Linked DNA regions of Canis lupus familiaris. The protein of the gene in region 1 purifies or fractionates together with the protein of each later gene. This does not show direct contact. Links are inferred from orthologs where the notes say so. Each region holds a gene or a part of one and is shown in the gene's direction. Other genes may lie near its edges.

Region 1 (7,281 bases):
CTGCCTTTAGCTTAGTCATGATCTCTGGATCCTGGTCCTGACACCTGAGCTCTGTGTCAGGTTCCCTGCTTAGCAGGGAGCCTGCATCTCCCTCTGCCTCTTTTCCTGCTTTTGTTCACTCTCTCTATCTCTGTCAAATAAATAAAATCTTAAAAAAATAAAATAAAATTATGACTTTATTGTGAAATCCCACACTGGCAACATACAAATCAGGATTTGTGAAATGTGTAATTTGACACAGGAGTCCTCCTAAGTTTATGATGACCACATTTCTTATGCAATCATGTATGGAGAGCCACTATTTGTCATATAACTATTTTGTTTTGAGTAAATGGATTTAGATGTGGTTTAAAAACATTTGTATTTATGTTTTCTTTTTTTAGGAGCAAAGAGGCCCCGAGTCACTTCAGGTGGTGTATCAGAGTCTCCTAGTGGATTTTCTAAGCACATTCAATCCAATTTGGACTTCTCTCCAGTGAACAGTGCCTCTAGGTAAGATAAATCAATAAAGACCAAATAATTATTGTATGTAATATTCCCATAAAAATAATGCATGTATATATTTTTTCTTGATAATGAATGTAATTTTTTATCAGTGTGAGAATGGTAATGTGATATAAGAAAGGCCTGATTGGTTTTATCTAAAGATATATTTTTCCCCATATCTTAATGCCTCAGTGAAGAAAATGTGAAGTACTCCAGTTCCCAGCCAGAACCACGGACAGGTCTTTCCGTATGGGACACTAGCCCTTCATATATTGATAAGCTGGTACAAGGGATCAGTTTTTCCCAACCCACATGTCCTGATCATATGCTCCTGAATAGTCAGTTACTTGGCACCCCGGGATCCTCACAGGTAAGGGAATTTAGTTTTTTCAAATAAATGATGAGAAACTTCTAGTTTTTTCCTCATAAAGGCTTTTGTTTTAATGTATAAATCTTAGAAATATAGTATTAATATTGTGCGTATATAGATTTTTTTTTAAGGAAGAGATAAGAGGATGCTTTCCTATATAAGAATCTTTAGTCACACAAAAAAATTTTCAGACCCAATAGCTATGATATGACTGCTTTTGGTGATACCAGATTTATTCAGGTTTCCTCTGTTTGACATGTAGAACCCTTGGCAGCGCTTGGTGAAAAGGATGACACGATTTTTTACCAAATTGGATGCAGACAAATCTTATCAATGCCTGAAAGAGACTTGTGAGAAATTGGGCTATCAGTGGAAAAAGAGTTGTATGAATCAGGTATGTTTCATTGATTTTCCTGAAGAAAAATGTAAATATTTGAGTAAAAAATGATCATTATCAGTATATATTTTTTAAAAAAGCAATTGGAATTTAAAAGACTTAAGTAAAATGTTACTTACCTTAAGAAATAGTATTGAAAGTCTTCTTTAAGTTTGTTAAAAATATCAAGAGACGCGGGATCCCTGGGTGGCGCAGCGGTTTGGCGCCTGCCTTTGGCCCAGGGCGCGATCCTGGAGACCCGGGATCGAATCCCACGTCGGGCTCCCGGTGCATGGAGCCTGCTTCTCCCTCTGCCTGTGTCTCTGCCTCTCTCTCTCTCTCTCTCTCTCTGTGACTATCATAAATAAAAAAAAAAAAAAAAAAAAAAAAAAAATATCAAGAGACGCAAGTCATGTTCTTGAAAACTGTATGTCCTTAAATTGTAAGAGTAACAAAGATTACCTTCTATGAAAGATGAATACATTAACAATCCCATACTTCTTCTATCTCCCCTGCTCCCACCACCAATTTTTGTTTTATATTATTATAGCATATTTGTAATACTGAAATTCTAGTCCATCTTTAGGCTTTTCAAAAACCTAATGGCATGAAAAACAATTAGACGAATATTCTGTATTAACGAGGCCTGACAAATAATGTAATGACATGATCTTTTACTAGATCATGGTTTTAAAGAAGTGAAAGCTATAAAAGACATTATTGGAACAATTGAGGAAATTTGAATATGGTTTTTATATTAGATAATGTTTTTGAATCAGTGCCAAATTTCTTGGTTGTTATCATAATATTGTAGTTTTGTAGAAGAGGATCTTTGTTCACAGGAGAAACATGTTGAAGTGAAGTGTATGTCTTGTATAGCTTGTTTGAAAAACTAAAAGAAAAAAAAAGACAAGTAAACCTACTTATCTAGGTTGATAAGACCAACAAAGGGTATATAGTTGGTGATTCTTTCAGGGTTTTTTTTTTATTTATTTAATAGCTTTGTAAGCTTTCAAAATTAAAATTAGGGGAAATTGTTACTGTGCAGAAATCTGAGACCAGCCTGATTTTCCTCTCACTTATGTAGATAATTTACTTTTTTTTTTTAATCAGGTAGGTATATTGAGATGTAATTCACGGTAACCTAAAAATCGTCATTTTAGCTATTTTAAAGTGTACAATTTAGTGGTTTTGGTATATTCACAAGATTGTGGTACCATCGTCATTTTATTCTAGAACATTCCATCGTCCCCAAAATAAACTCCATACGAATTAATAGTCATTCCTTATTCTTTCTTCCCTTCATTTCCTGGCAGCCACTTTACTCTCTGTCCTATAGATGGCCTATTCTGGATGTTTCATATAAATGGAATTATATAAATGGCTTTTTGTGTCTGTCATCTTTTACTTAGCATAATGTTTTCAAGGTTAATCTATGTTGTTTACATTTGTCAGTACTTCATTCCTTTTTATGGGAGAATAATAGAATACAACATTATATGGATAGAATATTTTATTTATCCATTTACTTGTTAATGGACTTTTGAGATGTTTCTACTTTTTGTCTATTATGAATAATGCTGCTGAGAACATTTTTGTACAAGTTTTTTGTATGAACTTAATGTGTTTTTAGCCTGCCAGGGCTGTCATAACAAAATATCCAAACTGGGTGCTTAAACAGCAGAAATTTATTTTCTCACAATTCTAGAAACTGAAGTCTGAGATTAAGGTGCCGGCAGGGTTGACTTCTTTTTCTTTTTTTAAAAGAGGATTTATTGACTTATTCATTCATGAGAGATACATAGAGAAAGAGAGGCAGAGACACAGGCAGAGAGGAGAAGCAGGCTCCATGCAGGGAGCCTGATGTGGGACTCGATCCCAGAACCCGAGATCATGGCCTAAGCCAAAGGCAGATGCTGAACTGCTGAGCCACCCAGGCATCCCAGGCAGGATTGATTTCTTCTAAGGCCTCACTTCATGGCTTTCAGATGCTGCCTCTTGCTGCCTCCTCATCTTGCCTTTCCTCTGTGTGCATGTGTACCTGGTATCTTTCTCTCTCTGTATTCTAATTTTTTATTAAAATTTTTTTTTTTGTAAAGAATTTATTTATTCAAGAGAGGCAGAGATATAGGCAGAGAGAGAAGCAAGCTCCATGCAGGGAGCCCCACGTGGGACTTGATCCCAGGTCTCTAGGATCACGCCCTGGGCCAAAGGCAGGTGCCAAACCACTGAGCAACCCGGGCAGCACTTTTTTTTTTTTCTTATAAAGCTATCAGTCATATTGGATCAGAGCCCACTAAGTGGTTTCATTTTAACTCTTATTACCTATTTAAAGGCCCAGTCTTTAAATACAGTCACAATCTGAGGGGCTAGGGCTTCAACATATGAATTTTGAGGGGACATAGTTCAATTCACAACAATATGTTTTCAATTTCTTAGGTATATAACTTGCTAATGGAATTACTAAGGCATATAGTATCTGTGTTTAACTTTTTGAGGAGCTGCCAAGTGGTTTTCCAAAGCAGCTGCACCTTTGCAGATTCCCACCAGCAATATATGTATTAAGCATCTTCTTTCCCAGAACATTATGTTCCAGTGTTGCACAATTGTGGTACACTGGTGTATTTTTTTTGGTCATTCCTTGAAATGAGAAGTTTTACAAATGTTTTTGTAATTTGCACTAATCTTATTTTTATTGCCTTAGGTTACTGTATCAACAACTGATAGGAGAAACAATAAGCTGATTTTCAAAGTGAATTTGGTAGAAATGGATGAGAAGATCTTGGTTGACTTTCGGCTCTCTAAGGTATGTCAAACAACATTTTTTAAAAAAAATTTGTTTTGCTGTTATTAAAGAAGTATTACATGTTCATTGAAGAAACCTAAAAAATATGAAAACATGTATAAAGGATAAAATAAGAATCAAGTTTAAACTTATCCAGAGAGAATAGAGAGATTTTATACTGTATTTCATTATGGTAGTCTTACTACTTCTTTAGTATGTGTTATATGGAAATGCTCTTATGTAGAGATTTCTTTTTAATGGCATTATATTTGTATATACATGGCATTTGTAAATATATGGTAACTTGCTTTTTCTCATTCAGTTTTCTGAACATTCTTGTTATTATCCTTCTAAAATACAGATTTTTTTCAAATGACATTTTCCTTATTATAAAAGCTTTATTGTAGAAAATGTAAATAAGTAACAATAAAATAAAAATAATCCTGTTATATTGTCCACCAGTAATTACCCTGAATATTTTAAAGCATTCTAAACTTTTTCTTATTTAATCCACATATATCTTAATAACAATTATGTTTGTCAAAATGTACAATATAATTAACCTTTATCTGTCATACGTAAATCTGTGATTAATATTTGTATACATAGAGTCTTGTTCACATATCTGATTATTTCTTTAGAAATTACTGGTTCTGAGGTTATAGTTTGGCCTTGATATATAAGAGCAAAATAGTGTTCTCTATGTTTCCTGAGATACTGTATATGGTTCTAAAGGAGATTAGAGAACTAGGTCACATTTTGAAATTGGAAATTTGCTGCATTGTCCAGATGCTTAGTATGAAATTAAATTATTAAGATCCTAGTGTAATGAATTTCTTCTCATAACTGAATCACTGGCTTTGTTACCACAGTATTTGGACAAGACTTCAATGTAGTTGTGTAGCTTAATTTTGGGTTATAAACCCCTAGTACCTATGGAAAACAGTGATTTAGGTTCATAGACATAGATACCAATGCTGGACAGAGATAAGATGCCATTGTTTCTGCCTCTCTACGCTCAGTATGGTGGGAACAGTGATGGCCCAAAATCAAGTTGAAATTGTTTATGTAGCCATATCTTCTAGGATATTTAGTCTTCAGAAGAGGACTTGAAGGGAATTGTAGTTGGACATATCTAAGGGTGTTTATCTCTACTTGCCACTAAAGAGAGTTTGATTTTATGGCAGTCTCTTTTTTGATATTATTTTTTGGATATTATTCCTAATATAGGGAGATGGATTAGAATTCAAGAGACACTTCCTGAAGATTAAAGGGAAGCTGAGTGATGTTGTGAGCAGCCAGAAGGTTTGGCTTCCTGCCACATGAGAGATCCATTGGATTCCTGGTGAATATAGTGCTGCTATGTTGACATTATTCTTCCTAGAGAAGATTATCCTATTCTGCAAACTGCAAACAATAGTCTCTGAAGAATTGTCTTCCCTCTAGCCAAACACTTTGAATTTTTTTGGTATGTTCTTCATACAAACAATACCTTACATCTTCATTGTAAGTAAAGCTTTGGGGAATGGATGGATAGAATTCATTAGATATTTCTCATCCTGTGTTTAGTTTCCAAAGACCCATGTAATGGAAACCAAGCTTTGAGGATACATGAACTTACCAACTTTTATACCACTGTAATGAAAGATGATATTCTTGTCATATTGTTAACAGAACATTTGGTTTTATCCAAAAAAGTAGGTGTTTCCTCTATGTTGATTTAATTATATGGATGGATTAGTAATAAAAGCAGTCCTGTGACTTTTGGACAGTAGATTTATCAGTCTATAAAGTGAAGCCAACTTCAAAAAATATATCCTCAAAATTTATACTTATATTTTCACAAGGGCCTTACCAAGTATATAAATCTGTTTTTGGAGTATAACTGTTAATTGAAATTGCTAGGTATGTTTTTTCCAGTGTAGTTAATATATAAAATACTGGTTGGTCTTTCAAGTAGAAGTTGAGCATGGACTCTAATGCTTAACTACCTTTACTCTAAAATTACTATTGCACATTTTAAATATTTTTCTATATTATTTTCTACTTTCACAGCCATATTTTAATTCTTTATTACAGAAATAAATTCTATTTTGAAAATGAATAGCCAACTCTGTGGACTTCTTGGTAACCAAGCTTCTAGGTAGTAAGGAATAAAAGAGGGAGGGAGAAGTAAATAAGCTGTGAGAGAAATAGATCTGATTCCTAATTCTTTTACTATTAGATTTACTAAGACTCTGTTCTTTTAATAAAATTTATATTAATTTTGGGGTCTCCTGGGTGGCTCAGTTGATTAAGCATCTGGCTTAGGTTCGGGTCATGATCCTGGAGTCCCAGATCTTGCCTCACATCAGGCTTCCTGCTCATCAGAAAGTCTGCTTCTCCCTCTCCCTCTGCTCCCCCTGCTCACACCCTCACACTGTGTATCTCGCTCTCAAATAAATAAAATCCTAAAAAAATTTTATATTAATTTTTGAATGTATTAGGTTTGGGACCTCTATTCCTTTTTCTTGGTAGTTTATAAAATTGATCATCTTAGTCTGAACCTAAGAAGGTGAAATTTTATGGTTTGAGTTTATCGCTTATTAGTTTATACTGGTGATTGTGTTAACACCATAGGAGAAAAAAATTTGAACGGTTAGGTGGTTCCTAAGGTTGAGTTAGTAAATTCTCAAATATGAAAAATTTTGTTCTTGAAAATTATCATTAGTAACTCTCATAAACAAAGTTATCTTAAGCTTTGATCTCCCCCCTTGAGCTTCAGACTTGACAGACCCAGCCAAGCTGACATCTCCACTTGACTAATAGTGAACATGTGACCAAAACCAGCTGTTGGTCCCTATCTTCTGACCTGTTCCTCCTAAGTTTCTCCCAATTCCAATAAATGCTACATTCAGCTCTCCCCTTCCTTAAGCCAAAACCCCTGGAATCTTTTTTGACCTGGTTTTGATATTCTACATTTAATTTGGCAAATCCTATTCAATTTAGCAAACTTATCCACAATCTATCTTACTTCACATCTCTATTAGAAGCACTCTAGTTGAAGGCATTGTGACCTCTCTTTTCATACTACTTATCCTTCAACAGTTCAAAAAGTCCGTCAGAATGATATTTCTAAAATGTGAATCAGGGATCCTTCTCCTGTTCTCAACTCTCCTGGCTTTTCATCACAGTTTAAACAAATTTCAAAATTTTCTCTCCCACCTCCTGGCTTTATGGGATCTGTCCTCTTACCAACTCCTGGGCCTCCTCTGCCACTCTTTT
Region 2 (7,281 bases), on another chromosome or scaffold:
ATCCTGCCGAGTCCTCCAGTGCTCTGCCTGTCTCCCTGGCCCTGGCCTGTCCCATCCAGTCTTGCAACGCAGTCAGGTGTGCGAGTCAGACCTCTCGGCCTTGCCCGACCCACTTACACCCTTGCGTACTTCCTCGGACCTTGATCTTACCCTATTCTTTCTTTTTCTTTTTCTAAGATTGTATTTATTAGAGAGCACACGAGGGGAGGGGCAGAAGGAGAGGGACAAGCAGACTCCCTGCTGAGCAGGGAGCCTCACATGAGATTCGATCCCAGGACCCTGAGATCATGACCTAAGCTGAAGGCAGACACTTAATTTACTAAGCCACTTAGGCACCCCAATCTTACACTGTTCTTACATCACCTGCCCCCCTAAACTCTAAGTATCCAGCTGATTACTGATCATGCTAGCTGATTGGTTTTTCCAGCGAAGCCTAAAATTTGAATTTTTCAGAAAAAATGGGCCAAGCAAACTGTCACTTAAAAAAATTGTGTTTCCTGCAGTCCTTTGATTTTTCAAATAATTTAAAGAATCACTCTTTTTTATATAAGCTGGAAATCAGTACTTAATTTCAAGCACAGAGAATTTATTTTATTATGTATATAAGCAAAGTATCCTATGTGCTTTGATGATGGAACCAAAGCTATTTCTTGATCTTCTGTGTCAGCATCTTTGAAGAAATTTCTGAACCTTTCAGAATGTTTTATAGTAACACATGAATATATCATTTAATCCCCAGTAACAAACTTTTATCTGTTTTTCCCCTCCCAAGGACCCCAAGATGTATGTACAGACAGTGTTGGATGTTCATAAAAAATACAATGCCCTGGTAATGTCGGCATTCAACAACGATGCTGGTTTCGTGGCCGCACTTGACAAGGTGGGTGCGAGCACAGCGTCTTTGCTGCAGCGTGGGGGGGGGCCCACATGTTCTCTGACTGTGTTTTGTATGTCCCACAGGCCTGCGGTCGCTTCATTAACAACAATGCAGTTACCAAAATGGCCCAATCGTCCAGTAAATCCCCTGAGTTGCTGGCTCGATACTGTGACTCCTTGTTGAAGAAAAGGTATTAGTGACTTTGTAGGGATTTTTTTGTTAGTAAATCTATTTAAAGTCTCTGCTTATATATGAGAACTAACTTCCTGTTATATTTTACATATTTTAGATTGTCATCTTTGTACCTTTTGAGAAAACACTTTAAACCAAATACATCTTCTTTGTCTCCTTAAAAGATACTTCATGTTATAAATTCTAGTGGGTTTTTATTGTGGGTTTTTGTTTTTTTTTAATGTTACTGTGGGCTTTGAGAATTATAGAATTTATTTAGCTAAATGAAGTTCACAGGTTGGTCAAGCAGTGGTTACGAGGGTGGCAAGGAAGGAAGGAGTAAGTGTCCTTCTTGTACTCCCTGCGGATGTTCTGTGAGCCTCGGTCATGATGCCAGGGAAGATCTCCTGTGGGAGCTCCCACTGGCTGTTTTCTGAAACAAGACTTTCTGTGCACTCTGGCATTTGAATTATCGTGTGCACTTTTAACATTTATCTTCATGTGATCAATTCGTTTTACTGCTGTTTCGTATTCTTTGTGTATGTGTATATTTACATTTATATATTTTTAAAGATTGGGGCTTGAGCTCACAACCCTGAGATCGAGTCGCTCCCTACACCAGCTGAGCTAGCCAGGCGCCCTTCGTATTCTTTATTTATTTTTATTTTTTTAAAGATTTTATTTATTTATTCATGAGAGACAGAGAGAGAGAGAGAGAGAGGCAGAGACACAGGCAGAGGGAGAAGCAGGCTCCATGCAGGGAGCCCGATGTGGGACTTGATCCCGGGTCTCCAGGATCAAGCCCTGGGCTGAAGGCGGTGCTAAACTGCTGAGCTACCTGGGCTGCCCCCGTATTCTTTTTTTTTTTTTTTTTTTTTTTTTTTTAAACCATCATGTTTCTCACCTGTTCCTCCTCCTCTGTGTGTGTGTGTCTATTAAGAGCTAGAGGCCCCATGATCTCCTGTGGCTCTCTCCTCTGCGTTGTGCTTCTAGGGTTCCAGGTTGTGTGTATTTGGGTATTCTCAGCTTCTGTTTCAGTTTTCCAGCAATCCATCAACAAACGCAGTCATTTCCCATGCCCCCATGTTGTCCTGGTTTTGAGATGAATAAACATCTCTTAAAGGCTCACCTAACCCCACTGCAGAAAACACTGAGGATACCTACATGTACCAAGAAAAACACTGGAAACAAGTCCCAGAACAGAGTTGGGGAAATCCTAAGTAAAGTGTTAGCAGACTAAATTTATTAGAGAACTAAAGAATAATTCTCCAGAACATAGTATAGTGTCCTAGGAATGTAGGGATGGCTTGGTGGTAGCAAATTTAACGTAATTTACTATATTAACGGAAGTATATGTGGTCTTCCTGGCAGACGTGGGAAAACGTTTGATAATGTCACTAGCTGTCTCTCTGACTTTGCCAGAAAGCCATGTCCCCAAGGCTGGTGAAAATGGGGTATTTGGGGGTGGTTTTCTATTTATTGCAAGTCTGGTCAGTGTATAATTCAGCCGTTCTAGTCCGATCTTTTCTTGTAGTCCTTCGAGAATAAAAATGGACTTTAAAGTGGAATGCCTCCTCTGACCTGATTTCATTTTTTTTTAGGCTAGATTATATGAAAATTCTCAATATTTTATTTTATTTTTTTTTTTTTCAATATTTTAATAACATGCTTTAGCAGACCTTCAGTTTGGCAAAAAACTTATTATCCTTTTTATACGTTGCCTTTTCACAAGAGGCCCTCACCAAGTCTCTTGGTGTGTTGTTTCTTAGTTAATGCTGCCAAAGCAGACAGAATGGCAGACACATGCTAGGGTTGCTTCAGTGAGCACGCACTAGTGAGTGGAGCTAAGAAAGAAAACTCTTCCAGAGAGAAAAACCACCCTGGGCTACCTGTGTGAGGACTAGGACTGGATTTTCTTAGAAATACCTTTCCAGAGCTTGTTTGGTCATTTCATGTGCTGGATCATGAGCTGGATCATTTCATGTGAACTTATGGGGATCTTATCTATGAAGGACTCATAAAACCTTAAAAATTTCATTTACCCTAGAGTCACCTTTCAGTTAATACTTGTTCATAAAAGAGAAAGAATTAGTTGTTAAGGGCAGCCCTCTGTTACATAGAACCACAGAGGAAGGCAGTGCTTTAGTGGCTTTAAACAGTTTTGTTTTCTTTAATGCTTAGGCCATTAGAAATCTACATGTGCTTTTGGTTTTTTCAGAGTTAAATTAAAGCATATTATAGGAAGCAGTTGGCAAAGTAAAGTTCCTTTATTTTGTGTTTAGGTAGATTTCCTTTCAGAAACGAAAGGAAAGCTTGAATGTTCAGGGCAGACTTTAATAAGTATCCTCTGTTGATTTTCATCTTGCATGTCCAAAACGATTATTTCGTAAACATGTTCTTCCGTGATAGTTTCAGTGTAAGATTGCCACGTTGCCATAGGTGAGAAAAGTTTGGCTCAGTGGTACTTGCTGAGTAAATGTTTACTGATTTGTTTGAAAACAGTATACCTTTTTTTTTTTTCCAGTTCCAAGAATCCAGAAGAAGCAGAGCTAGAAGACACGCTCAACCAAGTGGTAAGGCGCTTCTTACTAATCACTCTGGTTTCCAGTAGCAGTTTATCTCCCAAGTTTTAAGGTTACTTGTATAGGGCATCTGAAATGTGAAAATTAATAGGATCATTTATTTTACTTCATATCTATGGTTTTACTCCCTAAATTGAGTCATTAATTTTAGCACTCGTACTTTCCTCATTAGTACTAAGTCTAGACCAACTTAATATGATTAAAGGGGTTGATGAAAATATTTCAAGACTGTGGATGGTATTTTTTTTTTACCACTGTAAACGTTGGCACACAGGCCAGTCAAAATAAAGCACCTGTGTCGGCTGCCGGCGTGTGTTTAGTGCATTAAATCTGCTCTCTTGGTGACTTCACTAGATGGTGGTCTTCAAGTATATAGAGGATAAAGACGTGTTTCAGAAATTCTACGCAAAGATGCTGGCCAAAAGACTCGTACATCAGAACAGTGCCAGTGATGATGCCGAGGCGAGCATGATCTCAAAATTAAAGGTAAATTTGATCATGTCCTGAGAAAAATCCAGTTTTTAAGTCATCGTGAAAGATCTTAGCTGTTGCAGGTTGTCAGTGGGCAGAGTCGCTAGTCTAGGTAACAAAGAGTTTGTATGGAATGAGCCCCGCTGCTCCGCTACAGGGGGGTTGTGACCGGTCAGGCCTCCCCTCCCTGTTTCACATGCTTTGCCAACCCATCCATGCTGCTCTTGGAGGGGCCTCCTGTCCCGTCAGACCCGGCTGTGCCGTGCTCACCACCGCAGCATCTCCTACTCCGCACATTCGTCCCCACTCTGTCTTCACACACCAGAACCACTCAGGGTGGCTCAGCCCACCTGCATGTGGTTGGCTTTGAGTTGGTTTGTGTTTGTTTTGCTCTGGGTTTAGTTCACTGTCTGCGATTGTACCTGCAGGAAGACAGCGTTTTACTTGATCGTTGAGCAGTTATTTCATTATCCAGCCACCTCTGCGCTGAGCTTGTGCCTGCTAACCTGTTGAGTGCTGTGATGTGTCTTAGACCTATTTCACTTCGACTGAAATTAGTTATGTGGGTATATTATTCTGCTCAAACTGCCGTAACAAAACACCATGGACTGGGGGCTTTAACACTAAAAATTTATTCTCCCAGTTCTGAAGGCTGGAAGTCCAAGATCCAGATGCTGGCTGATTCGCTTTCTGGTGAGGACTCTCTTCCCACCATGGTGACAGCCGCCTCCTCGCTGTGCTCCAATGTGGCGAGGAGCAAGAGCAGACTCTGGCCTCTTTTTACAAGGACCCTAATCCCATCAGGAGGGCTCTGTCCTCATGACTGCATCTGGCAATCATTTCTCCAAGACCCTACCTCCCAATACCATCACGCTGGGGGTTAGGGCTTCAGCATAGGAGTTTGGGGGACACAGAGTTCAGCCCCCCAGTAGTGGAATAGAGACATAAAATAGGTCATCTGTGTGTTCTGTTAGACATCCTTGCTCCTAGATGCTCAAATGAAAGTTACTGGGTGAAAAAGACTTAACTGCTTGGCTATGGCTATATTTTGGGCAGTGTATTAATTTGAATCTGTACATATTGACCCCGTGAGATGTGGTTCAGTGTTACTCCTAGCTTAGTAGCTCTCGTACAGTTGTATGACTTCCATCAGATTTCCTTGTATACACTTCTATTTCTGTAGAAATTAATAAGATGGTTATCTGGGTTCATTTCAGCAAGCTTGTGGTTTTGAATATACCTCTAAACTTCAGCGGATGTTTCAAGACATTGGCGTGAGCAAAGATTTGAATGAGCAATTCAAAAAGCACCTGACGAATTCAGAACCGCTAGACTGTGAGTATCCACGAGCGTGTGTAAGCTGCTTTTACGGGCAGTGTTCTCAGAGAAGTTCATGTCCTTTGTGGCAAACGAGAGAGATGACAAAATACTAAGGGTGGTCAGTGCATATCAGAAATTCCGGGACAGGCAAACAGGAAGCCCGGGATCCTCCTGACTCCTGTGTGTCGTTAGGAGATGGCAGGCACAGAGCATGTCAGCCTTTCCCAGGGGCCCCAGCGGCATGGCCATCCCACCCTGGGCAGCTACCAGCTCCGGGCTCCACACAGTTTAATATTTAGTAAATTTCTTTAACCTTAGTGTGGATCCATTCTAGCTTTCTCTCTCTCTCTCTCTCTCTCTATTTTATTTATTTATTTATTTATTTATTTATTTATTTATTAATTATGAGAAAGAGTTGCAGATGGCTGTGTGGATCACAGAGTCAGACTAACCTGAGATTTCGGCTCCAGGTTGGCATGGGGATGAGGCCCTACTGGGCGCCAGGCCACGCTCTTGTTGTCAGGTCCGCGGGGTGGCACCCGGCAGGTGATGCTGACATCATCATATGGTAGTATTGTCTTTTTAAGCAAAAAATGGGAATTTTACCTTTCCCCGAAACTGAAGAGCCATTCCACTGTTAAATGTGGCAGGGATGCCAGTGGATTCCTTAGCTATGTGATGATGCAGTTGTTGTTACAATTTACAGGTTAGGTATCATACGTAGTGGGTGTGTGTGTGTGTGTGTGTTTGCAGTTGTGCGTGCTGCACAGAACACCCTGGAGTGAGCCGCTGGCGCTTGAGGCTTCTGTTTCCTGAGTTTGGGCCCCGGTGCCAGCCGTGCTGGGCGAGCTCGGGGGCCTCAGTGGACCCAAGCAGAGCGGCCCTATGGTGTCCTCAGTCTGAGCTACAAGTGAAATGAAAGACTGCCTCTCTCTGTAGAAAAAGAGTTTCTGGCTCTTTCCACCTTTTACTAATTGTACTTGAGTGAAACAGTCTCACTGAAATATGGTCAGTTCTGCCGTTCATACCGCAGCAGGGTTTTTCAGTCAGTGTGTTTCCTTCCATGCAAAGCAGCCCACGTTGATTTGAGCAGCAGCATTGTTGGGTTTCTGAGACTAACTGTGTTCCCGCACTTTCATTCCCGCCCCAGTGGATTTCAGTATCCAAGTGCTAAGCTCCGGGTCGTGGCCCTTCCAGCAGTCTTGCACGTTTGCCTTGCCGTCAGAGGTAAGGGTGGGTTTGTCTCGCATCCTGTTAACTCTGAGCAGAGATGAGTGCAGGGGTGTGGAAAGGGTGCGGGGGGCGGTGTCTGCGGGCAGGTGCCGCTCACCCCAATGGCAACCTGCGGGCCTCACGTCCGGGATGGTTTTCGATGGCACCCTCAAATGCCCGAGTGCTTCACAGGAGTCAAGCACCGGATGTTTGCATTTCACTTCTATGTCACCAGCTTTTTGTGCTGTGACCCTGGAGCACTGTGTTTACTGAACGATGCTGTGCTGCGTGGTGAGGCAGACGCTCCTCACAACGCTGTGTGTCCTTTTGTATCCTCTGATCCAGCTGGAGCGCAGTTATCAGCGGTTCACAGCTTTCTACGCCAGCCGTCACAGCGGCCGGAAGCTGACTTGGTTATATCAACTGTCCAAAGGGGAACTGGTAACCAACTGCTTCAAAAATAGGTACACTTTGCAGGTAAGGTCACCTTTCTGTTTGGGGGATGTATGGTCTGAGGTCTAAACAAGGGTACAACAAATTCTAGAACTCCAGAATTCTAGAGTCCAGCGGTGGGCGCCACGGTCGAGAGGGAGGCCTGTGGCAGAGCGCAGTTTGTGGGGCAGGTGAGCTGAGATCCGATGCTTTCTC
Region 3 (8,033 bases), on another chromosome or scaffold:
ATCTACACTGGCCAGCTGAGCCCAAACCTAATCACTAGAAAGAGTCACATAAAGGTAGATGATGACACATCCATGAGTCCACTGCCCTGGACATTTTCAAAAAAATTGTCATCAAACAAATCTGCTCCCAGAAACAGGCAAGAGGACTCTTCTAGATGACAGACTTTACAGAGCAAGACTGTCATACTCAGAGTGTGACCTGACTGGACCCTACAGGTAACAAAGAGGCTCCAAACAGTACTGTGGGTGGATGTGGAGCCCAGACTCTACCAGAAAACACTGGTGTTACGTTTCTCGGCTATGCCACCAGCCCAGCAGCCAGACAGCACAACAGCCTCGGTGCTCTGTGAAGGGCCACGGGGGCAGCGACCTCCTTTCCAAGAGCTCACAGGAGAGAAGCACACACGCCTGGGGGGGGAAGGGTACACAAATGTGGTGCGCCAGGTGAGGGTATACATGTCTTCAATGTTCTCCTCTCAACTTGTCTGTAGATTTGAAAATTTTCAAAATAAGGGATCCCTGGGTGGCTCAGCAGTTTATCGTCTGCCTTTGGCCCAGGGCGTGATCCTGGAGTCCCAGGATCGAATCCCACATCAGGCTCCCTGCATGAAGCCTGCTTCTCCCTCTGCCTGTGTCTCTGCCTCTCTCTCTCTCTCCCTCTCCCTCTCCGGGTCTCTCATGAATAACTAAATAAAATCTTAAAAAAAAAAAAAGAGAAGAAAGAAAGAAAATTTTCAAAATAAAAAGTTGGAGGAAAGTTACAATTTTTTTTTAAAGATTTTATTTAGTTATTCATGAGAGAGAGAGAGAGAGAAAGGCAGAGACACAGGCAGAGGGAGAAGCAGGCTCCGTGCAGGGAGCCCGACGTGGGACTCCATCCCGGGCCTCCAAGATCAGGCCCTGGGCGGAAGGCAGTGCTAAACCGCTGAGCCACCTGGACTACCCGAAAGTTACGATTTTAAATGTAGATAGTTTTTTAAAAGTAACTTGCCATTTGCGGTAAGAGTTTATAGAATAGACCAAAGAAAGAAGAACACCAAACAATACCAGCCCTTAGAGAGACCCCAGAAATACTGAAGAGCCCCAGTTGCGGGGAAAGTGCAGCTGACCCCTGATGGACAGGTCACACCACGGCTCTTTACTGTACGGCACAGTAAATGTATTTTCTGCTCCTTACCATTTTCTTGATAACATTCTCTCGCTTGGCTATAAGAATGTCGTGGATAACACAACACAAAACACAGGCTAGTTGACCCTTTCTGTGGTTGGTAAGGCTCTGGGCCAACAGTAGGCTATCGGTTAAGCTTTTGGTGAGCCAAAAGTCATAGGCTTATTTCCAACTGCTTGGGGGAGTCAGTGTCCCTAACCCCCACACTGTTCAAGGGAGAGCTGTACAAACAAACCGATCTTTTACTAAAAACAATTTTTAAAAGTAGAATATTAGAAAAAATGTTACAGTAAATTAACTCCACCTGTCCTCTCCAAACAGAAACTGGAGGCGTGTGGAAGCACCAAGCACTGAATAAAAAGGGCCTCACGGGAGGCAGGGACAGCCTAGTGACTGCCGACCACTGCACGGACAGCCCTCCCTGGGCTGCTCAAACTGGAAGTGAGCGCTGGGAAGACAAGGCCCTGACAACTAGCTCTTCCCTTGGGCCGCTGTTCAGGGCTGTTGATGTGGCTAGTCCCTTTGAGCAGCGAAGCAATGTCTCCCCCATCCCTTGAGCGAAACGCAGGCTTGCTCGTCACCTGCCACACAAGGGGTGGATGCCTTCTTTGACGCAGGTGCAGGCACCCTTCCGGGCCCACAGGCACTGACAGGCTGACCCCACACCACCGCTGTGCTGAGCTCCAGCCCTTGGTCTCTGGCCAGGAATGCGTGTGTTCCAGGAGCATCCAAGGAACCAACAAGAGAACCTGCAAGCTTCGGGGAGAGTGAAAGCAAAGCAAGCCCTGACCTGAGAGCTGCTGGGAAGTAATCCCGGGGACCGGGGCAACAAAGACCTACCTGTGCGCAGGCAGCTGCCGACCCAGGATGTGTTAGGTACGAAACAGGGAGCAGACTCGTGTGCAAACCCACAGGGTCAGTAAGATTCAAGAGACACTTCCGACCCCGAGATCTGGGGGGGGTCTGCCTGGGACCGAAAGCGCTGGCTGGCTGCGGCGAGGCTGCCGGCCGGAGTGCTGCGTGGAAAGGCTCGGCGTCTGGGGCCAGAAGCTCGGGTCGGAACGGCTGCCCCTGGACGGCCGCGGCACCGCCTCCAAGGAAAAGTGCGAACTAGGGGCCGCCGTGCACCACGGTAAGAGCTCGCCGGCGCGGGAACGAGGGGCGCGGCCGAAGCTGGGGCAGACCCGGCAGGGCGGGCGGAGACCGGACTCGAGGCGTGGGGTCGCGGGTCTGAGCCCGGCAGGCTCGCCCTTGCGCCTCCCCAAGCCCTCGAGGGCTTTAAGACGCACATAAGACGCCAACGAGGGCCTGTAGTCCAACGGGTTCTCAAAGGCCCACCCCGCGGGCACCGTCAGAGGAGAGGCCCGAGGCCCGCGGCGGGGCGGGGGCGGCGGCGGCGGCGGCTGCGGCGGCGGCGACAGGAGCCCCTAAGCCCTCACGGTGCCCCCGAGGACCGCCCCCCCGGCCACACCCCCGAGCGGACGCCGGTGGAGCTTCTCGCATCGACTCCCGCCGGCCCACACCCGCGCCCCGGCCCCGCGTACCCACCTGCTGCAGGTACTGGTTGATGGTGATGTGCGCCATGGCCGGACCCCCCGCGGAAAGTGGGCGTGGGCGGGGCCTGCGCGCGCGGCTGCGTCCGCCTCACTTCCGGCCGCCGGTCCGTCCGGACCTGCGCGCCCCCCAGGCCCGCCTCCCCCGCACGCGGGTTCCGGAGGAAGAGAGTCCGCGGCAGCGTGCGCCCCGGGCCGGGATGGCGGCGCGCCCGGGCTGAGGAAGGCCGCGGCCTGCGCTTCGATCCGCCACCGCCTCCCGGCGAGGACGCCCGGTCCGCGCCCTCTGGGTGCCTGGGCTCCCGCCCGGGGCAAGCTGGGCCCCGCCGCCCCCCTCGACCGTTATACGTTCCACAAGGAGCGCGGCGGCCGCCGGGCGGCCCGGGGCGGGGGCGGGGGCGGGCCGGGGCGGGGGCCGGGGCCGGGGCCGGGGTCGGGGTCGGGGTCGCGCCGGGCCGGCGGGGCGGCGGTTGGGCGGCCGGGGCGGCGCTGACGCGAGGCCCGCCCGCCCGCGCGGCCGGGGAGGCGGGACGGGGCGGGGCGCCCGCTGCTTCCCGGCCGCCGCCATGGCCGACGAGACCCCCAGGAAGGGCGCCCTGTCGGCGCTGGTCGGGCACACCAACGGCCTCACCAAGCCCGCGTCCCTGGCCGCGGCCGCCGTGGCCTCCAAGCCGGGCGGCGCCGGCGGCTCCAAGAAGCTCGTCATCAAGAATTTCCGAGGTGGGTGCGGGGCGGCGGGGCGGCGGGGCGGGGCGGGGTGGGCGCCCCCGGCCGCCGGAAGTGCCCGTCCCGGGGAGAGGGGGTCCCGGGGGGGCGCAGGGGTGGGGGGAGGGGGCGCCTCCGGCCGCCGGAAGTGCCGCTCCCGGTGGGGGGGGGAGGGACGGGGGGGGCTCCCGGCCGCCGGAAGTGCCGGTCCTACGGAGAGGGAATCCCGGGGGGGGGGGGCGCCCCCGGCCGCCGGAAGTGCGGGTCCCGGGGCCTGGGGCCTGGCGCCTGGCGGGCGGCGGCGAAGGGGTGTCCGGTCCCCGGAAGCGCCCCGGCTGTGTCCCGGCTCCGGCGTCCACGCAGCGGGGGCCCGCAGCGGCCGGTCCGCGCCCGGGGCCCCCAGGACTGGGTCATTCCGGGAAGGGAAGCGGGGGGGCTGCGGGCCCGTGAGCGTGATCGTGGGCGCGACGGGGGCGCCGACCCTCACCCCGCCCCCGCCCCGCAGACAGACCGCGGCTGCCGGACAACTACACTCAGGACACCTGGCAGAAGCTCCACGAGGCGGTGCGAGCCATCCAGAGCAGCACGTCCATCAGGTACAACCTGGAGGAGCTGTACCAGGTGAGGGCCGAGGCGGACCCCGCGCGGGCGCTCTTCCCCCCCGTCGCTGCCGCACGGCCACGCGGCCCTCCTCCTCTTTATTTTCCGATCGTTGCGGTTAAGACGCGGAAACGGATTTTGTTACGTCCGAAGATGTTCCGTTTCCAACGTAATTGTGGAAAAGGAGCATTACTTTACGTATTCCGTTGATCAGCAGACCGGTTTTCCTGATAACTGGTTTTCAGAGAATAGCATTCGTTGATTAGTGCGTTACCTACCACCTACATTTTGCATGACCGTGTGATAGATACCTCCGTTTCTATGAAGACATTGGAATTAAAACTTTCTGTTTGCATAACTGTTTGTTGTAAGAACTATGGACATCACAAAAAAGGACAAAAATAAATTAAAACCACCTGTACTCCCGCCACTCAAGGAAGACCGCTATTGGCATTTTGGTGGACATCCATCCCTTCTTTGTAATAACTTTGTATGAGTTTATATTTTTTGATCGACTTTTTGAGGCATAATTTGCATAGAACCTGTACTTTAGTGACTTATATTGAGGTGTAAATGCTGTTATCATGGTAACATACAGAATTTTTTTTAAAACATTTTTAAAAATTTTTATTTATTTAGGATAGTCACACAGAGAGAGAGAGAGAGGCAGAGACACAGGCAGAGGGAGAAGCAGGCTCCATGCACCGGGAGCCCGATGTGGGATTCGATCCCGGGTCTCCAGGATCGCGCCCTGGGCCAAAGGCAGGCGCCAAACCGCTGCGCCACCCAGGGATCCCTAGAATATTTACATCACTTCAAAGAGTTCGTTCTCCTGACCTGGTCCTGGCGGATCACTGACTTCCTTGCTGTTGGTCTGTTGGACCAGTTTAAGTCTCATCGGTGGAACCTGTGTGGGGCAGTTGTCTGCACCCAGTTCCAGTAGTTTGTTTCTTTGTTGCTGGGGAGTACAGCTACAGCCTTTCACCAGGATAACTGACAGTTTGCAGTTGGTAGGAATAAAGCTGTTCTGAACCTGAAGGAATAAGTCTCATGTGGACATGGGTAAATATCTAGAAGTAGTCTCAGAGTCATAAGGCAAGTGTACATTTGACTTTAGGACATTTTCTGTTTTCAAAATGGCTATACCATCTTGTATCTGGGCAGCAGTACGTGAGAGCTCCGTTTTTCTATGTTCTTGCTAACACTTGGTATTATCCGATTTTTTAAGGAATTTTATTCACTTGAGTACACATGTACTGTTCTTTTGTATTTCCGTATGAATTTTATGATGTTTGCCAATTTCTAAAAAATAAAGCCTACTAGCATTTTGATTAGGATTGTGTCAAATTCTAGATTAATGTGGGGAACGTTGATGTCTTGATGGTACCAGGCGTGCCAACTGATGACACGGCACAGCTTTGTTTGCTTTTCCTTGATTTCTCAGTAAGGATTTCTGGTTCTGGTGTGTAGGTCTTGTACATCTTCTATGAAATACTCTTAAGCGTTTCGTACGTTTGGTGGTATTACAAGCAGTAGTATGGTATAAGTTTTAATTTCTGGTTCTTGCTAGTATATAGAAATAGAAATTGTTTTTTGTGTATCACTCTAGTACCCTGCTCTCTTGCTGACCTCGCTTCTAGTAGCTTTTTGTAGATTCCATGGGATTTTCTACCTAAGCAATCACATCACCTATGAATAGAGGTGGTTTCACTTCTTTCTAGTCTGCATGCCTTTTATTTCCTGTCTTGTGTCCCTGCACTGCTCAGAACCTCCAGAACAGTGGTGAGTAGAAGTGGTAAACCCACACTCTCTTGTTTAGCTCCTGCTCCTAGTGGGAAAAGCCTTCGGTCCTTCATCATTGAATATGATGTTGAGTGTTGGGCATTTTTTTGGTGGTGTTTTGTTTTGTTTTGTTTTCTAAAAATACCCATTTGTCAGGTTGAGGAAGCTCCTTTCCATTCCTAGTTTGCTGAGAAATTACCAGAAGTACCTGTTGGATTTTGATGACTTCTTTTATGACTGTTAAGATGATCATATGACTTTTGTTATTTTAGTTCTTTGCATTGTTTGACGTCTCAGTTGGTAAGACCATCCAGCAGTCCTTGGATAAATCTGACTTGCCTAGTGGTGTATGAATTTTTGATGTACTGTTGGTTTCAGTTTGCTAACATTTCATGAGTTTTTGCATTTGTGATCGTAGAATAGTGCTGTCTTGTTTTCTTGTAGTGTATTTGTCTCAGAGTTGCAAATGTTTCCTCTTTTTCCTTTCTTATAAGGGTTTGTATGGAACTGGTGTTCTTTTTTCCTTAAACGTTTGAGAGAATTCCCAGTGAAACCATCTTGGCTTTCTTAGTGGAGAGCTTGTGAACTGCACATATCTTTAGTGGCTAAAGAACTCTTCAGGTCACTCATCTCTTTGGATTCACTAATCTTCTGTGACGTCTGATCTGCCAGGACTGCCATCTGGTGAAATTCTTTCTGGTGCATTGGTTTTCTGTCCAGGTGCTCAATTTGAATCTTTTCTGTATCTTCCCTTGTCACTACATAATTTCCAAACATAGGGAATATACTTATGATAGCTGTTTTACTGTCAGTTCCAGGCCACATTTGTCTGCTTTTTCTTCCCACTAAGGGTCGTGTGTTTTTTCTTAACCCGTTGGATAATCTTTGATCATCAGACATTATGAATTTTGATTACTACGATAGATATTTTTATATTTCTATAAATATTCTGAGCTTCATTGCAGACAAATTATTTGGAAACAGTTTGATCTTTTAGAGTCTTGCTTTTAAGATTTGTTAGGACTAGGGCAGTATTTTGTCCAGGGTTAATAATAGCCCCATTGAGCGGGACAATCTTCTGAATGAGATTAGGTGCCTGATGTCTTGTGGAAATGTGCTATTTCAGGTTCTCTCTGGGCACTAGACACTGTTGTCTCTAAACTTTTTCGGTGGTTCTTTCCCTGGCCTTCACCGTTTCCTCACATATAGGTCAGTGCTCTGCTGAATCCTCAAGGGGCACCCACGAGGGCTCCTCGTTCATCTCCAAGCTCCTGTCTAGATGCATCTCTCATCTCTTCCCTCTGGACCTTCATCTTGGAGACTTGAGCCTCAGCTCAAGGCACCTGCTCTGCAGCCTGGAAAGAGTGATGTAGGTAGTCATAGTGTTGGGGCTTGTTTCCCATCTCCCAGAGATCTTTGTCTTCCATAGGCCAATGTGCAGTGTTTTGAAAACTGGTTTTTTGTTTTTGGGTTTTTTTGTTTTTTTGTTTTTGTTTTTGTTTTAAGATTTATTTATTTGAGAGACACCAAGAGAGCACAAGCAGGGGGAGGGGCAGAGGGAGAAGGAGAAGCAGACTCCCTACTGAGCAGGGAACCCAACGTGGGGCTCAGTCCCAGGACCTCAGGATCATGACCTGAGCTGAAGGCAGACTCCACGTGCACTGTAGAGCCTGATGCTAGGCTCGATCTCACAACCCTAAGATCATGACCTGAACCAAAATCAATATAGTTGGATGCCTAACTGACTGAGCCACCCAGGCACCCCTCGTATATTTTGAATGGTTTTTGGTTAATTCAGGCAGAAGAGCTAGTCTAGTCCCTTTATTTAATCTTGACCAGAAGCGGGAGTTTCATCAAATGTCTAAACTCTCATAGGTTTTTAGTTTAATAAAAGATTATATCTTGCAGCTAGGGCTTATTATGCCCCTTTTCCTGGAGGTTTGACTATCTGGTATCAATTGCCCACGATTTTTCTTAGTAGAATGATTTTGCCATACCTATTAGCCTGCAGGATGTCTTACGATAGTCACCATAGAAATTATTGTGAAGGCCCTGTGTGTGTCTTGAGACCCTGAGGGCCAGGGGTGCTTACCTCAGAAGGGCCCAGTCGGGGTCAGGTGATTGAGGAAGGGGCCTGGGAAGTGGCTCTTGTCCACTCATGGGGACTCACCCAGCAGAGTTCAAGGACAGGACTATGCAGTCAACAGCTCAGATCTTTTGGAAAC
Region 4 (8,079 bases), on another chromosome or scaffold:
TGCAGTGTGGTAACTAGAAAGGCCGCACACGCCATCTCCTTGTCTAGAGAGGGGCCAGCAGCGAGCCCAGCTAATCCTCCTGTCTGTTTCCTCCTCCCCCAGGTGTATCAGTCACCTCCAGTAACACGGGCGTGCCAGATATCTCGGGTTCTGTGTACTCCAAAACCCAGGTAGGTGCCTAGAAGTGGAAAGAGATGGGCATAGAGGAGGTGGTGTTGCAGTGACAGAAGTCCAGTGAACAAGCACGACCCCAAGAGGTGTAGGAAACCTGTCCTCGAAGATGAGTGGTCTCTAGATTTCAGTTTCTCAAAGAACTTTAAATTTAGCTCTCTGAGAAAGGCAAGAGAAGTGTGCCAGGAAGGTAAGGCGTGGCAGGTGGCTGTGATGTGTCTTGAGACTTACTGTGGCAACTGTCCTTTCTTTCCATACCACCAGCCTTTTTGCAACTTTCCAAGAGAATGGAATGAAGGGAAACTAGTTCCGTTCTTTGTAAAAACAAAAGGTGGGAACGGAAGAGTGCATCTGAACTATTAAGCCTGATACATGCAGTGTTCGGAGTTATGGTGGAGCACTTGGTGACCGAGACCTTTGCCACCAGGATGCCCGAGCTGCACGGTGGGGGTGGTTTGTGATGGTAGAGTCCCAGAGCACGCTCACAGCTGTCCTCTCCTGCTGTGCTGACAGCTGGGAGTCAGCACCCCTGGGTTATGTGTGAGCAAAGATCAGAATGAGTGAGTACTTCTCTCAGGATCCCACAGCCCTTGGAGAACAGAGCAGACCCGCTCACGTGCCTTTAGTGCTGCTGTTCTGCTGCATACTGCTCTTGGGGGGTGGGGGACTTGGGCTCTGAAACTCCAGGGCTTGGTTTGCTGACCCCTTTTACTGTCTCTCCCCATCCCTCTGGATAGCAGTCCTTTGAGAAACAAGGTTTTCATTCCGGTACTCCTGCTGCCTCCTTCAACTTGCCTTCAGCCCTAGGAAGTGGGGGGCCCATCAATCCGGCCACAGCTGCTGCCTACCCACCTGCCCCCTTTATGCACATTCTGACCCCCCATCAGCAGCCGCACTCCCAGATCCTCCACCATCACCTGCAGCAGGATGGCCAGGTAATAGCCCTCCCCCTCTCCTCTCCCTTCCTCTTCCTTCCTGTCCCCTACAACTGCCTCCCTTTCCTTCTCTTACCCTTCCTCACAACCACCTTCACCTACCCCTCCCAGCGCCAGCCATGGGCACACAGCACATACACACACAAGTGCACATAACACCAGCTGCCGGCAGAGGAGATGTCAGAGAAGGGGCCAGGCTGAAATTTCCTTTGGGGCCTTTCTCTTCTGCCTCCTATAACACAGCTGCCTCATCCCATCAGACCTGGGTCACGCCTCCCCTCCAACCTCTCCCAGCCTCCCCCATTCCCTGACATTGTAGCTTTCCCTTCTAATGGTGGAGTTCTATTGTCAAAGTTTGTCCCTTTATTTTCCATATATCCTGGTTCTGCCTCAGCTACCATATTTGCAGATGATTCTCTGTTGCCAGCGCCAGCAGGAGGAGCAGGTAATGAAACTGAATGATGATGTGCTTGAACCCACTCCTTTCCAGCCCCCATTTCACCTCCACAGCGTCAGGGAACTTGGAAAGGCTGCACGGTCACAGATCAGGACACACAAACACAGACACCTCGCTGAGCTCTCTGGCCTCCCATTCCTCTCTTGTCCTCCCTCCCCAGCGCCCTCTTTCTTTCTGCCCTTCCCTGACTCTGGAAGCACTTGGTTACTGGAATGGAAAGGATTCTTGGGGCAGCCTCTGGAGCCTGGGGCCTCAGACTGTCTCTCCTACCTCACCTGCAGTGGGCTCTCAGCTGTGCTCTGTGGTAGGGGTGGGGAGCTTGGGGTGGTACAAGTGACCTCTCCTCCATCACAGGTGGCTGAGGAGCTGGGATAAGACAGCTTTCCAAATTGAGGTATTCATGGGATTGATGAAAATGAAATCTCCGTGTGATCACTCCTCTCCAAGAGGCTGTGATTCTCTCTAGAGAGAGAGAGCCTTTTCTCAGAGCAGTGTAGGTGGGAGTGGAGGGAGAAAGTGGAATTGAAAGTGGGGAGAACTCATTCACTGTCTTGTCTCCAAAAGGTATTCTGCCGTCTTTATGTTGTTCCCCTGTTCAAAGCTTGAAAATGCTCTCTTCCATGTCACAGGTCCTCTAGCACCTATAGAAACCAAATTTTCTGTGGTGGGGAAGTAAACTTCAGAGTCATTTCTAAGCAAGGGGAGTGGGAGAGCAAGACAGTTTCCAGAGCTCTACCTGCAGATGTCACAGATTTGTCCCACTAACCAGACACCTTTTTCCTCCTCCTCATCATCCCATTCCCTGCAGACGGGCAGCGGGCAACGTAGCCAGACCAGCTCCATCCCGCAGAAGCCCCAGACCAACAAGTCTGCCTACAACAGCTACAGCTGGGGGGCTAACTGAGGCCTGACCCCCCTCCTGCCCGGCAACCACGGAAACGGCATCAGAGAGAGAGGAAGGGGGGGTTCCGCTGCCCCTACCTCCAGTGTCCCACCCTATGCCTCAGCTTCATGTCTGTCCCGTCCCCATACCACCCCTACTCTGTTGTATGTATTATAGGATTTGTATTTTCTCCTTTTTTTTCCCCCTTTCCTCTCCTCCTCCCCCCTTGCATTCAAGATTATGAAACTTTGCTGTGGGCCCCGCCTTCCTTCTCCTCCTGTTCACCCTGGTGGTGTATAGGTGAGGTGGGGCAGGGGGACCCCCAAATATATATCAGCCCAACAGCCCTACGTCTCCTCCTTTATTATTAGGAAACAAAACAACAACAAAATGGCGTCATGAATATGAACAGCATTGTCAGATGAATTAGTTGAAGTGTTTTTTTTTTGTACTGTGTCCTCGAATTTAATGGATTAATGTGTCTTGTATATATAAAAAGAAAACCTCTACCTTCAGCCTCTGCCCGTTCTTGCTCATTCTAAGACAGTCTGGTCAGCCAGCTCGGTGAATGAATATTCCGTTCCAGCTGGGCCCCTGGCAGGCTCTGGAGGCCCCAGAATAAAGAGAGCTTCTGCCTTCACCTGCCCTGCTGGGATTCCCTCTCCTCCTTCCCCAGGGGCTTCACAGCCTAGAAGGAGCTGCTGCAAATTTTCATTTCCTCCAGAAGCTGCTTCCTCTGCAGATTTCAGGCTGTGACAGGAATGGACAGCAGACACAGGGTAGAAAGCTGGAGAGTGGGTTTGGGGAGCGGTCGTGTACTGTAGATGGTCCAGGACAATGGTGGGGGGGCATGCAGTTCCTGCTTCTTGAGTGCTGCCGGCCCCTTGAAAAGGAGGGGTCAGGAGACCAGGGCCGGGGTGCAGGGAGGGTGGGGGCGCAGGAAAGGAAAGGCTTGAAAGTCAGGGGGCAGGCAGAGGGTTACTTACAGCTCCAAACTCCTCCCCCGGCAAAGCTTACGGGATTTCCCCGGCTCTCTTGCCAAGCCTGTGCCTGCAGGCTGCAGAGCCTGCCTAGGGCAGCTAGTATCGGTCACGGTCACCGCATGCCCGTTGGCCGGGGAGCGCCAAGTCCGAGCATCCCCAACCGACCCGTGGATTCAAACGCCGAGCCTGGAGCACCTGCCGCACCGGCTCGCTGGGCGGAGGCTGCCCCCTGGCGGCGGCGGCCGGTCCCGGGCAGGAAGGCGGCTTAGGGTTCCGGGCCCTCGCCCGCTCCCTTCGCGGGCAGGGGGTGCGGCTCGGGACCGGGCGGCGCCCCGCGCCGCCTGCGCCGAGCAGACGGTCGTGTTACGACAGCGTGCCGCGCCGCCTGCCTGCTTTCCGGCAGGCGGCCCGACGCTGCTCTCAACTTCCGGCGGCGGAGTGCAGCTGCGGCCAGGTGCGAATGGGCCTCGGTGGGGTCTGCAGGTTCGAGTCCCAAAACGGGGATGAGCTTCTTTGATCTCTTTCGGGGCTTTTTCGGCCTTTCTGGACCTCGGAGGTTAGAGTGGGTCGGGGTCGGACGAGGGTGGGGTCTCCTGAGGGGAGCTTGATCTCTGACACCCAGTTCTTGGGAAGCCGTCCTCTTCGTCACTCCTTCACCAGCTGCGGAGAGGACAGAAGTCAGCACACTGCGCACTCGCCCCGCGGCGGTCACCTGGGCGGCCGCTGAGAGGAGGACTAACCGCAGTTTAAGCCTTTCTCCAGTCTGGGGTGATGCAACAGGGGCCTGGGCGGGAGAAACAGTGGGGGCCGGGCGGGGGTGGGGCGCGGGGGGCGGGGGCACGGCCTGCCCGCGAGGTGAGGACCGACCCTGACACAGACGGAACCCCGACGGCGCCCCGCCAGCCTCACTCCCGCACCTCGGTGCGCAGACCTCTGCCCTTGGCTCCTCGGCCACCCGGAGCTGATTGTGCGGCCGAAGGTGTGGCTGAGATTCTGGTGCTCAATCTACCTTCACTCCCAGCCACAGAGATCCCTTTTTTGGAGGGATGACTCGAGATGAAGATGAGGACGATGAGGAAGAGGAGGAAGAAGCAGCCCCGTGGAGCCATGGGAGCTCGAGGTCTGAGGGTCCCCAGACCCCGGAGGAATTTGGCTTTGGCTTCACCTTCACTCCAGGAGGGATGCGTTTCCATGATAACTTCGGCTTTGATGACCTGATTCGTGATTTTAATAACATCTTCAGCGAGATGGAGGCCTGGACCTTGCCTTCCCGGCCTTCTGGTGTGTGGCTGCCCCTGGAGCACCTCTGGTTTCTCCTGGGTTAGTGGGTGAAGCCAGGAGCCTGAAGAGAGTAGTGGGGGTGGGAAGTGTGAGAAGAATGATAATATCAAGGCTGTGAGGAGCCCAGGTCCTCTCCCCCCCCCAGCATCCATCTGCCCCCTTTTCCCAGAACTTCCAGGTCCTGGTCCTGAATCAGAGACACCTGGTGAGAGACGACGGGAGGGACAGACACTTCGGGACTCAATGCTTAAGTATCCAGATAGTCACCAGCCCAGGATCTTTGGGGGGGTCTTGGAGAGTGATACAAGAAGTGAATCCTCCAAACCAGCACCAGACTGGGGCTCCCAGAGACCTTTTGGTCTGGTGAGTGCTTCTGGGCCCCAAGTGAGAGCCTGCAGGAGGTAACTAATAAAGCACAGACTGGAGCTTGTCAGAATCTAGCAAAGTTGGGTTGGGATCCTAGGTTCTCCACTGTCTAGTGTATTTATCTGTTTTCTCTATTAAGCTCCTTGTAGGATTGGGCGGAGGGGGCGCATGAGGGTGGGAGTTCAGCTTTTTTCTCTATTTTTTTTTATGACTTTTTAAAAAAAGGTTTATTTTATTTATTTATTCCTGAGAGAGAGATAGAGGCAGAGACACAGGCAGACGGAGAAGAAGGCTCCATGCAGGGAGCCCGATGCGGGACTTGATCCTGGATCTCCAGGATCACGCCCCGGGCTGAAGGCGGCGCTAAACCGCTGAGCCACCCGGGCTGCCATATAACTTTTTTTAAAGATTTTATTCATTTATTCATGAGAGACAGAGAGAGAGAAGCAGAGACACAGGCAGAGGGAGAAGCAGGCTCCATGCAGGGACGTGATCCCAGAGTCCTGAGATCCAGCCCCACATTGGGCTCCCTGCTCTGTGGGGAGTCTGTTTCTCCCTTTCCCTCAGCCCCTCCTGTACTCCCTGTCTCTCTCAAATGCGTAAAACCTTAAAAAAAAATCACCAGTCTGTATGATTCTGGGACAAGACGGATTGTTGGATAGGATAGAGTGTCAGTTGAGGAGAGCCTTTTGGTGGAAAGATAGATTGAACGGGTAGGACAGAGAAAGGGGTGAGTAAATAAAGCTATCCTGAGTGGAATCCTCTGTCCCAGGGGAAAAGTAGTTACGGAACTTAGGAATATTTTGGATTCTGTGACCTCTCAAGTTTCAGATTGAAAGGTATCATTTCACCTATTTTGCCTTCTACAGTTTGATGATATGTGGCCTGTGACCCCCCGTTCTAGAGCCAGAGAAGACAATGGTGAGTCTGGAGGGAGGGGACATTTAACGTACCCTTTGTTCTCTCTCCCTTACATTTCTTCTTGTCACACTTGGCCCCTTCTTTTCCTTTGGACTTTTGATTTCGTGTTTCCTCTCTGCCCTTCTAGATCTTGATTCGCAGGTTTCCCAGGAAGGCCTCGGCCCAGTTCTGCAGCCCCAGCCCAAATCCTATTTCAAGAGTGTCACGGTGACTAAGATCACTAAGCCAGATGGGGTGAGTTGGAAGAGGAGTAAAGGGAAATGTGGCCAGAGGATGCCATGGAAGAGCAATCTATATAAAGAAACCAGTGAGCTCACTTCTATTGATCTTAGAGATATGGTTGGGGTCTCTCCTTGTAGACAGTAGAGGAGCGCCGGACTGTGGTGGATAGTGAGGGCCGGACAGAGACCACAGTAACCCATCAAGAAGCAGATGGCAGTCCTAGAGATGGTAAGTAAAGTTTGTGAATCAAAAAGGTCCATCTCTTATTTCCTTGGGCAAAAAACACACATACTTTTTCAGCCTTTGATATTCTTCTCCTTGTCCACTGCCCATTCTTTTTCATTTAGTGTGTCTGTATGTATCACTTTCTCCTTAGATCCAGAATCACCAACACCTCCAGCCCTGGATGATGCCTATTCCATCCTGGATTTATTTCTAGGACGTTGGTTCCGGTCCCGGTAGCCTTGTTAACCCTCAGAGGCCTTCAGATCCTTTCCACCCTTCGCTCACTGTCAGTGGGCTTAGCTTCTCCTGCCACCTCAGGGTCTTGGGTGTATGGAACAGTGAGTTGGGGGTATGTCAGTATGTGACTCACCTAAACTGACCAATAAAACCTTTATTTATGCTAACTCCTTGGTCTTAGTTTTGTCTAGGCTGTTCTTCCCCCCCCCCCCCTTTTTTTTAAAGGCCTCCCAAGCTCTCTCCAGTCGGCGGGACCCGCCTGCTGCGCGGGGTGAGTGGAGGCTCTTCTACTTTGTAGTACCATCCAGGGCTTCCCAGATTATTTTGGCCCACAGTATTCTTACTTCTTAATTTTTTGTTCTGCTTCCCAACCCTGATTTGATAATCAGGTTAATTTGGTCAGGATAATCAGGATAATTTGGTCAGGTACTGGTAGAAAATGAGTATTCTTATGGAGGAGATACCTAGAGACAATTCCAGGAAAATTTACACAGGGATGCATTAGAGTCTAACAAGCGGAAGTGTGTGTGGAAATGTAGGGACACCTGCTTCCCCAGGTGTGGGATCACTATGATCGGACATTTCACGAGGTAATTTGATGAAATACATTGGCAAATATTTTTTCCTTTAGTGGGTATGTATTCCCCCCCCCGCCCCGCCCCATGTATGTTGGAGAAAATATAACTAGGACAAACGTTGCTAGATTTTTTTTTTCTCATTAAAGAAATTCTTAAGAGCACCTAGGTGGCTCAGTCGGTTGAGCATCCAACTTTTGGTTTCAGCTCAGGTCATGATCTCAGTCATGAGACTGAGCCCTGCATCAGGCTCCATGCTGAGCTCGAGTCTGCTTGTCCATCTCCTTCCCACTCTTTTTTTTTCCTTCCCACTCTTTCCCCACTCTACCCCCCTGCTCAGTCTCTCTCTCTCTTTCTCAAATAATAAACCTTTAAACAAAAACAAAACTTTAGCACTGTGGTTTATAGTGGCAGATCTTAAACATTTGTTTACCTCTGTTTTCTTGAAATTTCACTAAAATGACAATAAAGGGATTTTTCTAAGGAAGCAAATCATAAGAACAAAGAGATATAATCATGAAATTTTGTCTTTTCTCTTTATTATATCTTTATGTGAACAGAAGTTGATTTATTACCCAAGAAGTTGTTTATATTTCTCTTTATAGTTAGTGCTCTTTATATCTTAGGAATATCCCCAACCCAAGGTTAAAAAAATATTTCTTTATCCTCTACAAGTTTTATTAGTTCTGCTTTTTATATTTAGGTTTTTATTTATTTATTATTTTAAAAAGATTTTATGTATTTATTCATGAAAGACAGGCTCCCTGTGGGGAGCCCAATGCAGGATTTGATGCCAGGACTCTGGGATCATGCCCTGAGCTGG

The links.
Region 2: the proteins of CHEK1 (region 1) and CUL1 purify together in Homo sapiens (affinity purification with western blotting; 6 studies listed by BioGRID and IntAct, with this or other methods). This does not show direct contact. The link is inferred for Canis lupus familiaris from reciprocal best matches to the Homo sapiens genes CHEK1 and CUL1.
Region 3: the proteins of CHEK1 (region 1) and CUL4A purify together in Homo sapiens (affinity purification with western blotting; 4 studies listed by BioGRID). This does not show direct contact. The link is inferred for Canis lupus familiaris from reciprocal best matches to the Homo sapiens genes CHEK1 and CUL4A.
Region 4: the proteins of CHEK1 (region 1) and HAX1 purify together in Homo sapiens (affinity purification with mass spectrometry; 3 studies listed by BioGRID and IntAct, with this or other methods). This does not show direct contact. The link is inferred for Canis lupus familiaris from reciprocal best matches to the Homo sapiens genes CHEK1 and HAX1.

What each region holds. Positions count from the first base shown.
Region 1 is NC_049226.1:8,896,128-8,903,408, reverse strand, and holds the end of CHEK1 (serine/threonine-protein kinase Chk1), read left to right. Parts: intron 1-383; coding exon 384-492; intron 493-678; coding exon 679-856; intron 857-1,118; coding exon 1,119-1,250; intron 1,251-3,936; coding exon 3,937-4,038; intron 4,039-5,247; coding exon 5,248-5,343; 3' UTR 5,344-6,121; downstream 6,122-7,281. UniProt on the Homo sapiens protein: Serine/threonine-protein kinase which is required for checkpoint-mediated cell cycle arrest and activation of DNA repair in response to the presence of DNA damage or unreplicated DNA.
Region 2 is NC_049237.1:1,657,482-1,664,762, reverse strand, and holds part of CUL1 (cullin-1), read left to right. Parts: intron 1-772; coding exon 773-880; intron 881-960; coding exon 961-1,067; intron 1,068-3,572; coding exon 3,573-3,621; intron 3,622-3,984; coding exon 3,985-4,116; intron 4,117-5,318; coding exon 5,319-5,436; intron 5,437-6,571; coding exon 6,572-6,648; intron 6,649-6,978; coding exon 6,979-7,110; intron 7,111-7,281. UniProt on the Homo sapiens protein: Core component of multiple cullin-RING-based SCF (SKP1-CUL1-F-box protein) E3 ubiquitin-protein ligase complexes, which mediate the ubiquitination of proteins involved in cell cycle progression, signal transduction and transcription.
Region 3 is NC_049243.1:60,778,597-60,786,629, forward strand, and holds the start of CUL4A (cullin-4A), read left to right. Parts: upstream 1-3,270; 5' UTR 3,271-3,287; coding exon 3,288-3,441; intron 3,442-3,931; coding exon 3,932-4,047; intron 4,048-4,703; exon of another isoform or gene 4,704-7,163; intron 7,164-7,900; exon of another isoform or gene 7,901-8,022; intron 8,023-8,033. Other genes in the region: PCID2 (PCI domain-containing protein 2), read right to left, coding at 2,717-2,752. UniProt on the Homo sapiens protein: Core component of multiple cullin-RING-based E3 ubiquitin-protein ligase complexes which mediate the ubiquitination of target proteins. As a scaffold protein may contribute to catalysis through positioning of the substrate and the ubiquitin-conjugating enzyme.
Region 4 is NC_049228.1:42,955,096-42,963,174, reverse strand, and holds HAX1 (HCLS1-associated protein X-1), read left to right. Parts: upstream 1-3,824; 5' UTR 3,825-3,932; coding exon 3,933-3,985; intron 3,986-4,051; exon of another isoform or gene 4,052-4,197; intron 4,198-4,450; coding exon 4,451-4,749; intron 4,750-4,879; coding exon 4,880-5,073; intron 5,074-5,945; coding exon 5,946-5,997; intron 5,998-6,124; coding exon 6,125-6,231; intron 6,232-6,356; coding exon 6,357-6,447; intron 6,448-6,595; coding exon 6,596-6,681; 3' UTR 6,682-6,848; downstream 6,849-8,079. Other genes in the region: UBAP2L (ubiquitin-associated protein 2-like), read left to right, coding at 103-170, 909-1,106, 1,501-1,551, 2,372-2,467. UniProt on the Homo sapiens protein: Recruits the Arp2/3 complex to the cell cortex and regulates reorganization of the cortical actin cytoskeleton via its interaction with KCNC3 and the Arp2/3 complex. Slows down the rate of inactivation of KCNC3 channels. Promotes GNA13-mediated cell migration.